3 linked regions of the Mus musculus genome follow. The protein of the gene in region 2 purifies or fractionates together with the protein of the main gene of each other region. This does not show direct contact. Links are inferred from orthologs where the notes say so. Each region holds a gene or a part of one and is shown on either strand. Other genes may lie near its edges.

Region 1 (4,147 bases), on a different chromosome or scaffold from region 2:
GTGTTGCTGAAGAGCAAGCATCGCAGGGCTGCCTAACATTCCTCAAGCTGCGTCCTCTCAGGACAGAGGCTGCCTCCACAGGCCTCAGAACTGTAGCTGCTCATCTACTTTACTCTCTGTGGCATGAAGATGTCTTCAGTGAGATTGTTTTAAATAAAAAGGAGTTGACAGGGGCCACAAAACAACAAAAGAAAATGGAGTTAAAATGTTTGTACGTTTGCAAGGTTTTTACGAGTTTGTGAACACCGTTTCAGGAGTTTGTCCCTCGGGTTTGCTTCTGGCCAAGGACACTAAAAATTTACCACTAGGTGATGGGCAGAGACCACGACCTGGCCTCACCTCACCTCACCTCAGCACTGATATTTCAGTTGACTCCATCTACTTTCACTGTCCACTTCCTGCTTAGAAGTACAGCAACAAACGACTGTAAATATACCACTCCACTCCACTCGCCACCTGCAGTGTGCACAGGCTCTTGTCCATGCTCTGCCCTGAGTTTATTTGCAAAAGGGCTCCACCAGTTTTCCTGAGCACACATTTCAAAATACACTCCGACTAAGAAAGTTCCCCATCCTCCACCTTGGCGGTGGGATTCTGGGATTCTGAGACTCGTGAGCTAAGGCTTCACTCACAGTCTCTAGTCCCATCGTCACTACAGCAGTAGATACTTCCCTTCAAGCTGGAGACATAGATACCCAATATACAGTCTCTAAACTAGTGTTCTCAATCTGGGGGTTCAACAACCCTTTCACAGGGGTCACCTAAGACCGTGGGAAAACATTTACATTATGGTTCACAACAGTAGCAAAGTCAGTTGTGAAGTAGCAAGGAAAGTTTTACGGTTGGGGTCACCATAACAGTTGAGAAACTATTTTAACAGGTCACAACATCAGGAAGACTGACTGAGAAGCACTGCTCTAGACTATGAGAAATGATCACATGACAGTTAAACTCTATTTCTTCACGCCTGCATTCGATTAAATGTTTCCCTATCTGAAGATAGTCTTTTTACAGACTGTGAGGCCCAGGACTCTGTCCCAGGCAAGCTAAGCTTTCCAGATAGCCTGCTTCCTTAATTAAGGACTTCAGCCTGGGAGGGTTTGTTGTAGAGAAACATCTGCAAGTTTCCAACTTCCTTGCCACCACTAAAGGCCTTGTCCAGACTCGGCCTTGAGGACAAAGGTTAGGTAGGTCACAGAATGACTATCCCCAGTACCATCAACAATGTTGTCCGCTGTGAAAGGGCGTTCTCAAACAAACCTTGGAGGCACTTCATTTTAATTTCGGGGATTTCTGAATGTTTAAGGTGAAAGTGAACTAAATGTAACTGCGGGCCTTAACTCAAAGTTTGAGCCGGACATACAAAACCGAAATACAAAGGCCACAAGCTTAAGCAACATTAAATTAGAACCAAGAAAGCAAGCTCTTTCCCGGGACGAGGAGAGACTGCACTGAGACATCTGCAAACCTCAAGTAAATAGCGAAATGGCTTCCTAAATCCCAGACAAAACGCTTCACAACTTGGCCATGTGAAAAACATGAGGCAGACTTTATCAAAGGCAAAGCTGCCGTCTCCTCAGCTTGCTGTCTGGTCTAAGCCACCATTATTCATGGCACAAAGCTCTCGTTTCACTAAAACCACTCCTCGATTTCCTCTCGCCGACCTCCGCATACCAGCAGCCCAGCCGCTCTCCATTCAGAGCTCAGGCCCCGGGAGGGGGGCTGCGGGGGGCGCGGGGGAGGGGAGCCCACAGATGTCTGGAGACCCGAGCCCGAGACAAAGCTGCCCCGCAGCCAGCGGGCTCACCGGAGCGGGCCTGGGGTACCGAACTTGGGAGCGTCGGTTCCAAGTCTGGTCCCCCAAACAACACTCAGAACAAGTCGCCAGGCTCCCACGCCCTGGCGGTCCGCGCTCCGGCCACTCCGTCTCGCTCAGAAAGCAAACGCGCTGGGGAGAAACACTTGGAGCGGACCCCACACTTACTGGCTAAGGGCAAGTCCCCCTCCCCCAAGCCCAGGTTTCGGATCCCGCGCACCTCCCCCCCCCCCCGCCTCCAACACCAGGAGTGGCCGGTGACTCGTCCACGGTCCCAAATTCCCGCCAGGACCTCGGCCCCGCAGCCACCAACCCCACGCGAGTCCAAGAAGCCACCCTCCGAGAACACGCTCCTGACGCATCCCGCCCGCTGCATCCAAGTTTGGCGACTCCACGGCTTAAAGTTGTTTGGATTCAAACTCACAGTCAGGTCGTTGCAGGGAGAAAAAAAAATTTGTCTGTGCGTGCTCCACGAGGGACAGAGGGGACGAGCGCCAGGTCTCGCGTCCCCCCGGCTCCGCGGGCCACGGAGGCGAGGCCCCCGCCCACCCCGCCCCCGCGGCGGCCCCAGCCCGGACGCGAACCGCGGTCCCCACCCCCCACGGCGGCCAGCCGTCCATCCGGGCTCCCGGCGCGCGCCCGCCCGGCCCCGGCCCCAGCCCGCGCGTCCCCGCGGCCTCCCGCCGCCACCCGGCCCGCGAAGTTTCCCGCTGGCGCGGCGCGAGCCGGCCCGCCGCGGCGCCGCACCTCAGGCCCGCGCGCTGCTCACTCGCGGCCGCCCGCTCGGCCTCGGCCTCCTGCACTGACGGCTCGGCGCCCACCGTGCTCCGTCTCCGCCTCCCCGGGCCGCGGGCTTCACAGGACACGAGCTGACGCGGCCGCCACCGAGCGAGGGCTTAAGATGGCGCCGCACAAGGAGCGATTTATAAGCGGCGCGGCACCGTGTATCCTGCCGCTGCCGCTCCGCGCGGAGCGTTCCGCCGCGCGAGGACGAGGGGCGGGGCGCGGGCGGGCCGGGGAAAGTAGTCCCCGCCAGTCCGAGTCGCTCTGCGCGTGCGCCGCCGGGAGGGGCCGAGCCGGGGCGGGGCGTCCAGACGCCGCTCCATTGGAAACTAAAGGAATCGAGAGCGGGCCGCCGCCGCGGGCCGGGTGGAGTGCGGCCTCGGACGGCGCAGGTTCGAGGCTGCCATCACCGGTGCACCGGCCGCCACACCCCTGAACCACCATTGGACCCCACCACACTTTACCGCTCCCAGGAGTGTCCCGCTTCCCTTCCCGCTGTGCCTCTGGAATCCGGACAGGGAACCTGGGGCCCAGCCACCTTTCCTCCCCACCCCAGGAGGCCTTGGAGTCCCCAAGAGTGTCTGCGAACATCTATTAACAAGTGATTCAGCTCCACCACTGCGTTCACCAGCGTGATTCCTAGAAACCCCATCTTACCCAGACTCACTGGGTCAGTAGAACCAGGCGTGGGGACCAAGGACAGCGATTTTTCTGTATTGTTTGAGAAACTCGAGTGTGTTGCTGAGAGGACCTGTGGGTAACCTCTTAAATTTTCAAAACTAATTTTGTATCCTTCGAGAGCTCCCCCCCCCCCAAATCATGACAATAGGGTGAAGTTGGATCTTCTCTTGGAAATGGCCCCATTGTTGTCCTTCACGATTGGCACTTGTCAAAACTGGAGCAGTTGGGGTGAATTGGCTGTCTCCAGCCTATTATTCTGAGCTCACGTCTCTTCCCAAACAATGGCAACAGGGAAAGTTGCCCCACTGCCTTCTTTCATCCCAGCGCTGTAATTAACGCAAGTAAACAATAGGTCCTTATGTACAGGTACTGGCAGGAAGCCCATGCATCACTGAGGCAGGGCCGGTGCTGTAGGGCCAGCTTAGTTTTTAAATGACTCAATTTTCTATCTTAAAGACATATCACCGTAACTCTGTGAACCACCACAGTCCACCATGCTGGAGCTGCTCAGTGAGGGCCTTTGTCTAGACCTTTCCCCTCTGCAGCTCTGCTCGGATTTCCGGAGAGTAAACTCTGCTGCTGGCTGGGGCTGACTTGGCCTGCCATAACTCAGAGAGATAGAGCAGGAAAAGGTATTTTACCAAAGCCCTACCAGTGGTGGTTGCAGCTACCAACCCCTAATTTTAATTGTCACATGCAGAGTTAAAGAATATTTGGTCGATTCGTTTAAAATTAGATAGCTGACTTCACCTCTGTCCGGGGTTTCCTTTCTTTTCTTTTCTTTTTCTTTTTTTTTTTGGGGGGGGGGGGGGTTCCTTTCTTTTCTTTTTCTTTTTTTTTTCTTTTTGACACTTGCTTCTTTTTCTG
Region 2 (3,472 bases):
GGATAAGACACAGAACTCTAGTGCCCAGAACCCCATCTCTAGGAGGACACCAAGCCCAACTACAGAGATAAGGAGGGTGGGAGGGCCTTCCCACAGCCTGATCCAATCAGGAAAGAATTTGAGAAGGGACCATTTGTGCAAGTCTTTGTGCATTAAAGGGGAGGCCAGAGCTTCAAAGCCAGGCTTATTAAATGTGCCTTAGGGGGAAAAAAAATCAGAGCCAGATGTGGCCAGAGTGGCTGAGCGAAGCCCTTCCCTGTAGGCCGCTACATAGTGCGCTGTGACAGTTTCGCCCCCTGAAGGTCACCTGCGGTTCTCCTCAAAGTTGGGCCGAGTCAAAGCCAAGATCAAAATGAATCCCTGGAGGAGCATACTCTTGTAATTAGCTTCACCTGGGTCTCTGTCAAGATTAAAGGCGGCAGCCCGGCCTGTTCGCCAGACTCTTTGATAACTTTCGGAATGGCCTCTTCAACAGAAAATGACTTATGCCCAGACACACACCTGCCACCCCAGAAAGCTGTCGCCTGCAGGGTCTTGGTCTTTCTCCCTGCGAAAGGTCACTGTTGGTGCCAGCATAAGAACTCCACGACAGAATGGTTGGTGCAGTCCCACAGGGCCTACCCTGGAGTTGAGCGCCCTTCAGACGCTCTCCTCACACATCTGGGTTCTGGGGATACGTGTGGGGTGCGCCTCTACATAGAGGCCGGGACGCTCAACTGGGGAGAGGACACTTCTTGGGTGGGAACCTCCTCAGGGTGCCCTGAGCGTCTTGTTTGCCTCACTGTCCCAGCCTGGTGCTCTATACCTGGGACGATAGGCAGAACACACACTACATTTCCAGGCAGGGTCAAGTCATCCCCTGCCTTGGCAAGAAGGGAGGGTGACGAACGCGTCTGAGATGGCCTCCATCCTCAGTTCTGGGTTCTCCAGGACCTCACAAGGTCAATGTGGGTCTTTTTTAAGGGTCCCTGTACTCTGCCAGGGAGGCTGGCTGGCAGGGAGAGACTGTGAGGCCCAGGACCAGCATGGAGGGGAGGGACAGATGGACACGGGGCTCAGCCCTATCCACCCTCCTGACTGACCAGGCATAGCCCCTTCTTAGTTACTGATAAGCATTGCTGCTATAGGTAACTTGAGTGACTCATTGGCCCTGGTCTCTGCTTTTCTGAGCTTCCAGCATAGCCTCTGACTCTGCCCTCCCTTTTTTTTTTTGTTTTTTGTTTTGTTTTTGAGACAGGGTTTCTCTGTAGCCCTGGCTGTCCTGGAACTCACCTTGTAGACCAGGCTGGCCTCGAACTCAGAAATCTGCCTGCCTCTGCCTCCCAAGTGCTGGGATTAAAGGCGTGCGCCACCACGCCCGGCTGACTCTGCCCTCCCTTATCAGGGAAGGAGTCTCTGATTTCTGGCAGAGCCCCTACCACATAGTCCAGCCCTGCTCTCATGGTTAAATAAACGAAGGGCTGTGTCTTTGGTCCTCAGTCTTGTTCACTTGGACCTGGCTAGATCTCCAGAGAACCATACCCTCTCATCAGCTTTCCCTCATGGCTGTTCATATTAGAGGTGACGAGAGCATGAGCGTGGGGGGGGGGGGGGCACTAACGGACAGACAGACGGACCCTAGCCACCCAGCAGCCCACTCAGGCAGCTTCTGAACAGTGTGTCTCCAATCCATCCGAGGCCTGCAGAGAGCAAGATGCTCGGGGGCCTGGATCCTCTGAGTTCTGAGCAAACTCCAGAGCAGACGAGGCGGCGGGACGGGCAGGACCCTCACCTGTAATTTCCCTTTTTGCTGAGCTGCTCCTTGAAGTGGCCCAGGGTCAAGCTTTGAGCCTTCAGCATCCTCCTGTATGGAATTTCTTCTCCACAGAAAAAGTAGGTGACAACCAGCTCACTGGCCTGGAGCGCGTGGACACTTGCCAGTTTCTTTGGCTCTTTGTGACTGAAAAAGACATCAGGATGCCACAGACTCAGCCTCGCAAAGCAGATACACACCGACTCCTACGCAACATGAGGTTGTCTACAAAGGAGGCCTGGGGCCTCGAATTACCAAGGGAACAACCTCCAAAGAGAGCTGCAGAGCATGAGGGAAGCAAGCGGTGGTTGTCTTCTGGTAAGCTGATACTATATTCCCCAATGCCTTCCATCGCAAGCATAACCAGGTGCCCACCGGTAAAGACCAGAGAATGCCATGGAGGCAATCCCAGGTCAGGGTTCCTCATGAACAGTGTGCGCTCAAATGCCCTTGGAGGTCTACCCATCATGCCCTCGGAGGCCTATCCATCATTCCCACAGACCCACATTACAGGTGAACAGCCTGTCTCTTCTCACATATCCCTGGCCCCAAACTTGCTGTGCAGTCAGAGATGACCGTCTTCCTGCACCTCAGAGAGCTAGGGATTACAGATGTTCACTCACACGGCCTCCACCTCCATTTCTGTGGTGCCAGGGAGCTAGCCCAAGGCTCGCTGCACAGTCGATGGCAGGCAAGCACTCTACCAACTCTCTTACAGCCCCGCACTCCTGTCATTTTAATGGTGCCATTTACTTTATTTTGGAGTGAGTGGCTTTTATAAAAGCCACCAGTGTTGAGAGTTGGTAGACTTGAGGTTCACCAATTAAAACAAGGAAAGGGTCTAGGAAGGTGTTTACTCAGGACCTCAAACATTAGTCATGGCTTGGGGTGATGATGCTAAGAAAACTTTATCTAGATCACATTCTATAACTCAGGCAGATTTGAAATCCTGTAGACAAGACAGGGTTCAGAGTCCTGAGTAAATGGGTGAGCCAGTTCGAGACAAGGTTTTACATTTCTCCACGCGGATCGTGGAGGCAGACTTCCGGGCAATCTGAGAATCATTTTCCTGCTCAGGGGGTGATGCAAACACCTGTCCAGACTTGCTAGCTCCCAAAACCTACAAAGTAGCTTGTGCATCCAGATTCAGGCACTCTACCTTTCTGACAATGGCTTCGTGCCCAACTTTTGACGACTGAGACCCCCAGAAACCCGGTGTCATCACTGAATTCTTGGGAGCTGATGTCCCGTGACCCTCACTGCTGGCAACATTCGCCTTTAGTGTTGCCCTTCACTAAGTGTGGACACAAAGGTAGGTTCAGATATGGAGTTCCACACACACATCACTCCAGATGGTGACACTTCCTGAACCGTACAACCACACAGAGTAAGGATCCCAGCAATGTCAGAGAGACACTCACTCTTCTGGAGCCAGGCTTGGGTTGGCGAAGGGTGAGGCTCCTGCCTGACCAGCAGCCGAGTGGTTCCTGTCCCTCTGCTGACTGGCCACGCAGCACCTGAGGGTGGAGGAGGGTGAAGAATTTAAGAGGTAAGCTCTCATGCTCATGCCAACTGGGGAGCAGAGAAAAACCACTCTGGCTTCTTCAACAGATGTAGACCCAACCCAACCTCCCTCCCCGCAGAGACCCCACAAGACCTTGTGTTCGCGGACATTCTAGA
Region 3 (4,305 bases), on a different chromosome or scaffold from region 2:
CTCCTCTCAGCAACAAAACAGTTTTATCTGTGTCCTCCCTCTTCTTTCTCATCGAATAAGGAAAACAACATGGATATTTTGGCCAGAATCTGCAACTATGTTCTAATAAGCTGTCATGAAATACCACATAAACATCTCCACAAATAGATACATTTGAACACTGGATACTCAGTATACCAAACACTTCAAGAACACAAGACTCTTTTTTTTCAGCACAGATTCCCCGGGAAAGACTGACAGATACTGACACATTTTAAATTATCCTAAAAGGGTATCCTCTTGTACTCTTAAAAATAATAATAATAATAATAACAAGTAATAAATGCAATGCCACCTCAAAATTAAACTTAAATGAGGAGTCAGTGACAACACTTAACTTAGTTTGTGGCAAAATGACAATACAACCTCAATCAAAAGTTGAATCTCCTTCCAAGTTACCTTTTGATTAAACAAATTATATGGTGGCAGATTGGTAATGTCAAAACAGGAAGGTTAAGAGATAACACATTAAACCACTTGAAAACAATGCACTTAGAGATGCGACTGCTGCGGGATATTTATCAGCTTCCACCACCCCTAGACGAGTGAGGGATGGATGCTAGCTTGCCTCCAACGGCAATGTGGGTTACCAAGCAAGTTCATCCCCAGATTCAAAAATACTTTGTGTAGTCACACGGGCAAATAGGAAATATTAGGAGGCTGGGGCATTTAATATCTCTATTTTGAATACAGAACCCTGATAACCTGAGCTAACTAAGATAAACTCCCTCATTCCAGAAGACAAGGACTCGGCAAATGTACATCATGGTTTATTAATCAAGCCTTGTCCTCCTCTTCTTTATTCAAAGGGATGGGCAAGCGAACGCTTCTTCCATCGCTTAACCCGGAGGCACTGGAGCACTTGAAAAGACTACCAGCAGCACGGAGAACGTAAGAAAAGAAGTTTCAAATCCAATCAGGCAAATAAAACTAATATTCTCTCAATCCAAGGTTAATGAGGCGGGGGGAGGGGGTACGGGAATGGGAGGAGGAAAAGGAGCCTGCCTCTTCTTGACTCAAGGCTGGTTTTGCCCTTTTCCACGACCACTGACTGTTCTATCAGGTCTGTTAGTGTAAGATCCTGGTATTTCGAGGTTTCTTATCTAAATGGTAAGGTGGAGGAAGGGTGTAAAATAAAATCGATACTCACTGCTAACTTTCATGCTACCAAAAGCTGAAGGCTGCTGCACTGGCTTGCAGCTCTCCGCAAAGGAGGTGGTTCTCGGTCGCCCCGACATGATGGCTCTTCTTGAATCACCTTTTCCTTCCTTAATCCTTTTCTTCCTTTTGTTTTATGTTAGGGTGCTAGGTTAATGATAAATGCAGCATTAAGTTCTCCCGCAAGAAAGAGAAAGAAAGACTTCGTTCTCTTGGCTTTTCACTCCTTTTGTATAGCTATTTAAGAAGAAGGAAAAAAAAAAGGAGCTATGTATTTCTTCAAGACAGATCGGTACGGATATTTAACACATAGATGATTTAGAGCTGGGAGAAAAATACAATTCTTTCACCTCCCTTTCCTGGAAGAGGAGAAAAAGGGTGGAGTGGAATCCTTAAAAATATATATATATCACGTGAACGAGGGCAAATACTTGATTGAAAATAAGTACTCTGAGTATTATATTTTTCCTCGGGGATTTTTTTCCGAGTCAATGAAGAAGGGAAGCGGCGGAAGGATCACGAGCCTCACGCTTGAAGAGAAGGGGGATGGGAAGGAGGGAGGAGATGGCTCGGAGATGCGACGGCAAACGCTGCGGCTCCGGCAGCAGCGGGATCCGGCGGTCTGACGGCGGCGGCGGCCGGGTGAACCGGAGGGCAGCGCAGTCGCGAGTCAGCGGCGGGCGGTGGCGGCGGCTCCTCTCCTCATTGCGCCAGGAGCAGCTGCAGGCGGTGGCTGGATCCAGCGGCCATGGCGGCAGCGGCGGCGGAGGCAGCTCCCTTCAGACCCCAGGCAGCGGCTCCCTGACTGCTCCCCATACGCCGGGGACATGGGAACCAGGCAACCGCTTCCGTCCCTCGGGGTCCCCTCCCCCGTCCGTGGCCCCGGCACGGCCGGCCTCCGCCCCTCGCCTTTGCTCAGCGGCTGCTCGGGAAGTGTCCGCGCTGTGCCCGGAGCCCGAAGCCCTGTCAGCGGCTGCAAGGCCGGCTCCTCCTTGCTGCCTTCCTTCCTTTGTCACTCGGCCCAGGCGGCGGCGACGGCGGCGACACAAGCCCGCATTCGGCCGGGTCGGGGGCTGCTCTGTGCGAGGCGCGCCGTCTGCGCAGCCGCCTAGCCCTTCCCCACTCCCCCTCCCCCTTCCTACTCGTCCTCCGCCTCCTTCCTCCCCCACCCAGCCCTTACACCGCCCAGCGCCCCGCCGCCCGCGTTACAGGCGTCTGGGAATCGCTCGCCGAGCCCGCGCCCGCCAGCTTCGGCTGTAGAGCCGAAACCCAAGCCGGAACCAATCAGAGACGTCGCTTGCTTGCAGCTCCTGCCGGAAAAAGCCGAGCGACCTGGATAACCAATGAGGAGACGCCGCTGGGAGACCACGCCCCAGCAACGAGGAATGCCGAAGGTAGCCGAACAGAAGGGAAGAGGGTTCTCCTTGTCCTGTGGCTGGCTAGAGAGAAGAGTCGACAATAGCGACAGTGGCCAATCAGAGCTGTTGGCCCTCAGGGAAAAGCCTCAAGAGTTAAGGACGGCGAAACTCCCGAGTCGCGGGAGGAACTGCACGGCTGGGCGCCGCGCCCGTTTCCTCATTGGCTGGACAACTCCGCTGGGCGTGTACCTTTCTCGGTGATTGGTGAAGGGAAGGGGGCTTCCGAGGACATCGGGCCAGTCAGAGCCTCCCCTCCCTCTTTGAGGCGGGGAGAAGAAGAAAGCGGAGGGAGGGCACCTATAAAGTGCCATCTCATTGGTCTGCAGCGTCGAGCTGGAGCGCGGGGGGAGGGGAGCTTCGAAAGGGAGAAGGAGGGTGCAGGAGCCCGTGGCGGCGGCCAATAGGCGCTCACTGCTGTGCAATCGCAAGACCTAGCTGCAGTGGGATTGGCCTCGGGTGGTCCCTAAGCGGGCGGACGGGATGAGTGGTCGGCCTGCATCTGCTTTCCGAGCCGACGCTCGTGCTGGCTGTGCAGCCCGGTCCGACAATGCTGCGGTCGGAGGGTCGGGCCCCGAGCGCTCTAGTGGGGCGTGAGGCCGTCCCCATTCCCGGGAGCTCCGCGGGGCGCGGCTTACCAAGTGCGCCCGAGGCTCCCCACCGCGCGTGCTGAGCCTATGAGAACGTCTATTCTCTGAAAGACGTAGGGCGCCGTGGCCGGGGCCGAACCCTCTAGCGCTTAAATGGGAACAAAGCTTCCAGAGAAGGAGAGCCTCTGGGCAGCCGCGCCCGCCCATCGCGGGGGGCCGCTGATCTCGTGGGGGGGGGGGGGGGAGCCCTTTGCAGCAGGCGCACAAGGCCAGACCAGGCCTTCTGGAAACGCCCCCGAGAGATGAGCTCATGCTAGATGAGCGCGGTCCATGGGCGCGACTGTCCAGCGCAAAAGCAGCCCCGAAAACAGGTGAGGGGAAATGTGGTCAGGACAGTACCTCGAATCCTAGGAGGAAGCTCAAGTCAGAATTGCTCGCAGCAGTTTTTAGTGTTATTGGATGATCAGCACACTGCTGCCTAAGTAGGTTTCACATGTAGTCCAGCGTCCATTGTTCTACAAAGGAGACCATTGCCTTGGTCCATCCGAGAGCTGTGTGGCGTGGCTACTACGACTAGAGTAAGTTAGAGTGGACACTGGCAATCCTGACTGTAATCCCGTGATACTTGTAATACCCACCCGCATAGTCATCTCTTTCTGTTGAGATGCTATCTCCAGAAAGCACATGTAAAAGTACACGTACTTGATCAGATTGCTTAGCTATTGCTTTAAAATCTGATGAGGGACTTGGGACAGAACAAAGTAAGCTTTGAAGGGAGCCAGTAAAGGTCTGGATAGTGTTTGCAGACTCAGATGTCTGTAGAGGCCTGGCAAATAAAGCGAATGACACCGGCCTGGTGGAAGACAATAGGAATGTTAGATGATGTGGAAACGGGAGTTCCATCCATGCCCTTAAGGGGGTCCACCATTAAAATAATCGTATTCTCCTTTTTTTTTTTTTTTAATTACCAAAACCATAACGTTGAAGTTTTATGTGTGATCTCTAAATCTGACGTGTTGGCAACCGATATGCCGAAACCACGTAGACCAACAAAGTAAAAAATCCCAGGAAAATGTGCCCGACAGGCAGCCAATTTGTAATCT

Evidence for each region.
Region 1: the proteins of Axin2 (region 2) and Ctnnb1 purify together in Homo sapiens (affinity purification with western blotting; 4 studies listed by BioGRID and IntAct, with this or other methods). This does not show direct contact. The link is inferred for Mus musculus from reciprocal best matches to the Homo sapiens genes AXIN2 and CTNNB1.
Region 3: the proteins of Axin2 (region 2) and Gsk3b purify together in Homo sapiens (affinity purification with mass spectrometry; 9 studies listed by BioGRID and IntAct, with this or other methods). This does not show direct contact. The link is inferred for Mus musculus from reciprocal best matches to the Homo sapiens genes AXIN2 and GSK3B.

The regions. Positions count from the first base shown.
Region 1 is NC_000075.6:120,932,055-120,936,201, reverse strand, and holds the start of Ctnnb1 (catenin beta-1), read right to left. Parts: upstream 2,803-4,147; 5' UTR 2,564-2,802; intron 1-2,563. UniProt on the Homo sapiens protein: Key downstream component of the canonical Wnt signaling pathway.
Region 2 is NC_000077.6:108,944,347-108,947,818, reverse strand, and holds part of Axin2 (axin-2), read right to left. Parts: intron 3,310-3,472; coding exon 3,214-3,309; intron 1,940-3,213; coding exon 1,772-1,939; intron 1-1,771. UniProt on the Homo sapiens protein: Inhibitor of the Wnt signaling pathway. Down-regulates beta-catenin. Probably facilitate the phosphorylation of beta-catenin and APC by GSK3B.
Region 3 is NC_000082.6:38,087,498-38,091,802, reverse strand, and holds the start of Gsk3b (glycogen synthase kinase-3 beta), read right to left. Parts: upstream 2,803-4,305; 5' UTR 1,278-2,802; coding exon 1,190-1,277; intron 1-1,189. UniProt on the Homo sapiens protein: Constitutively active protein kinase that acts as a negative regulator in the hormonal control of glucose homeostasis, Wnt signaling and regulation of transcription factors and microtubules, by phosphorylating and inactivating glycogen synthase (GYS1 or GYS2), EIF2B, CTNNB1/beta-catenin, APC, AXIN1, DPYSL2/CRMP2, JUN, NFATC1/NFATC, MAPT/TAU and MACF1.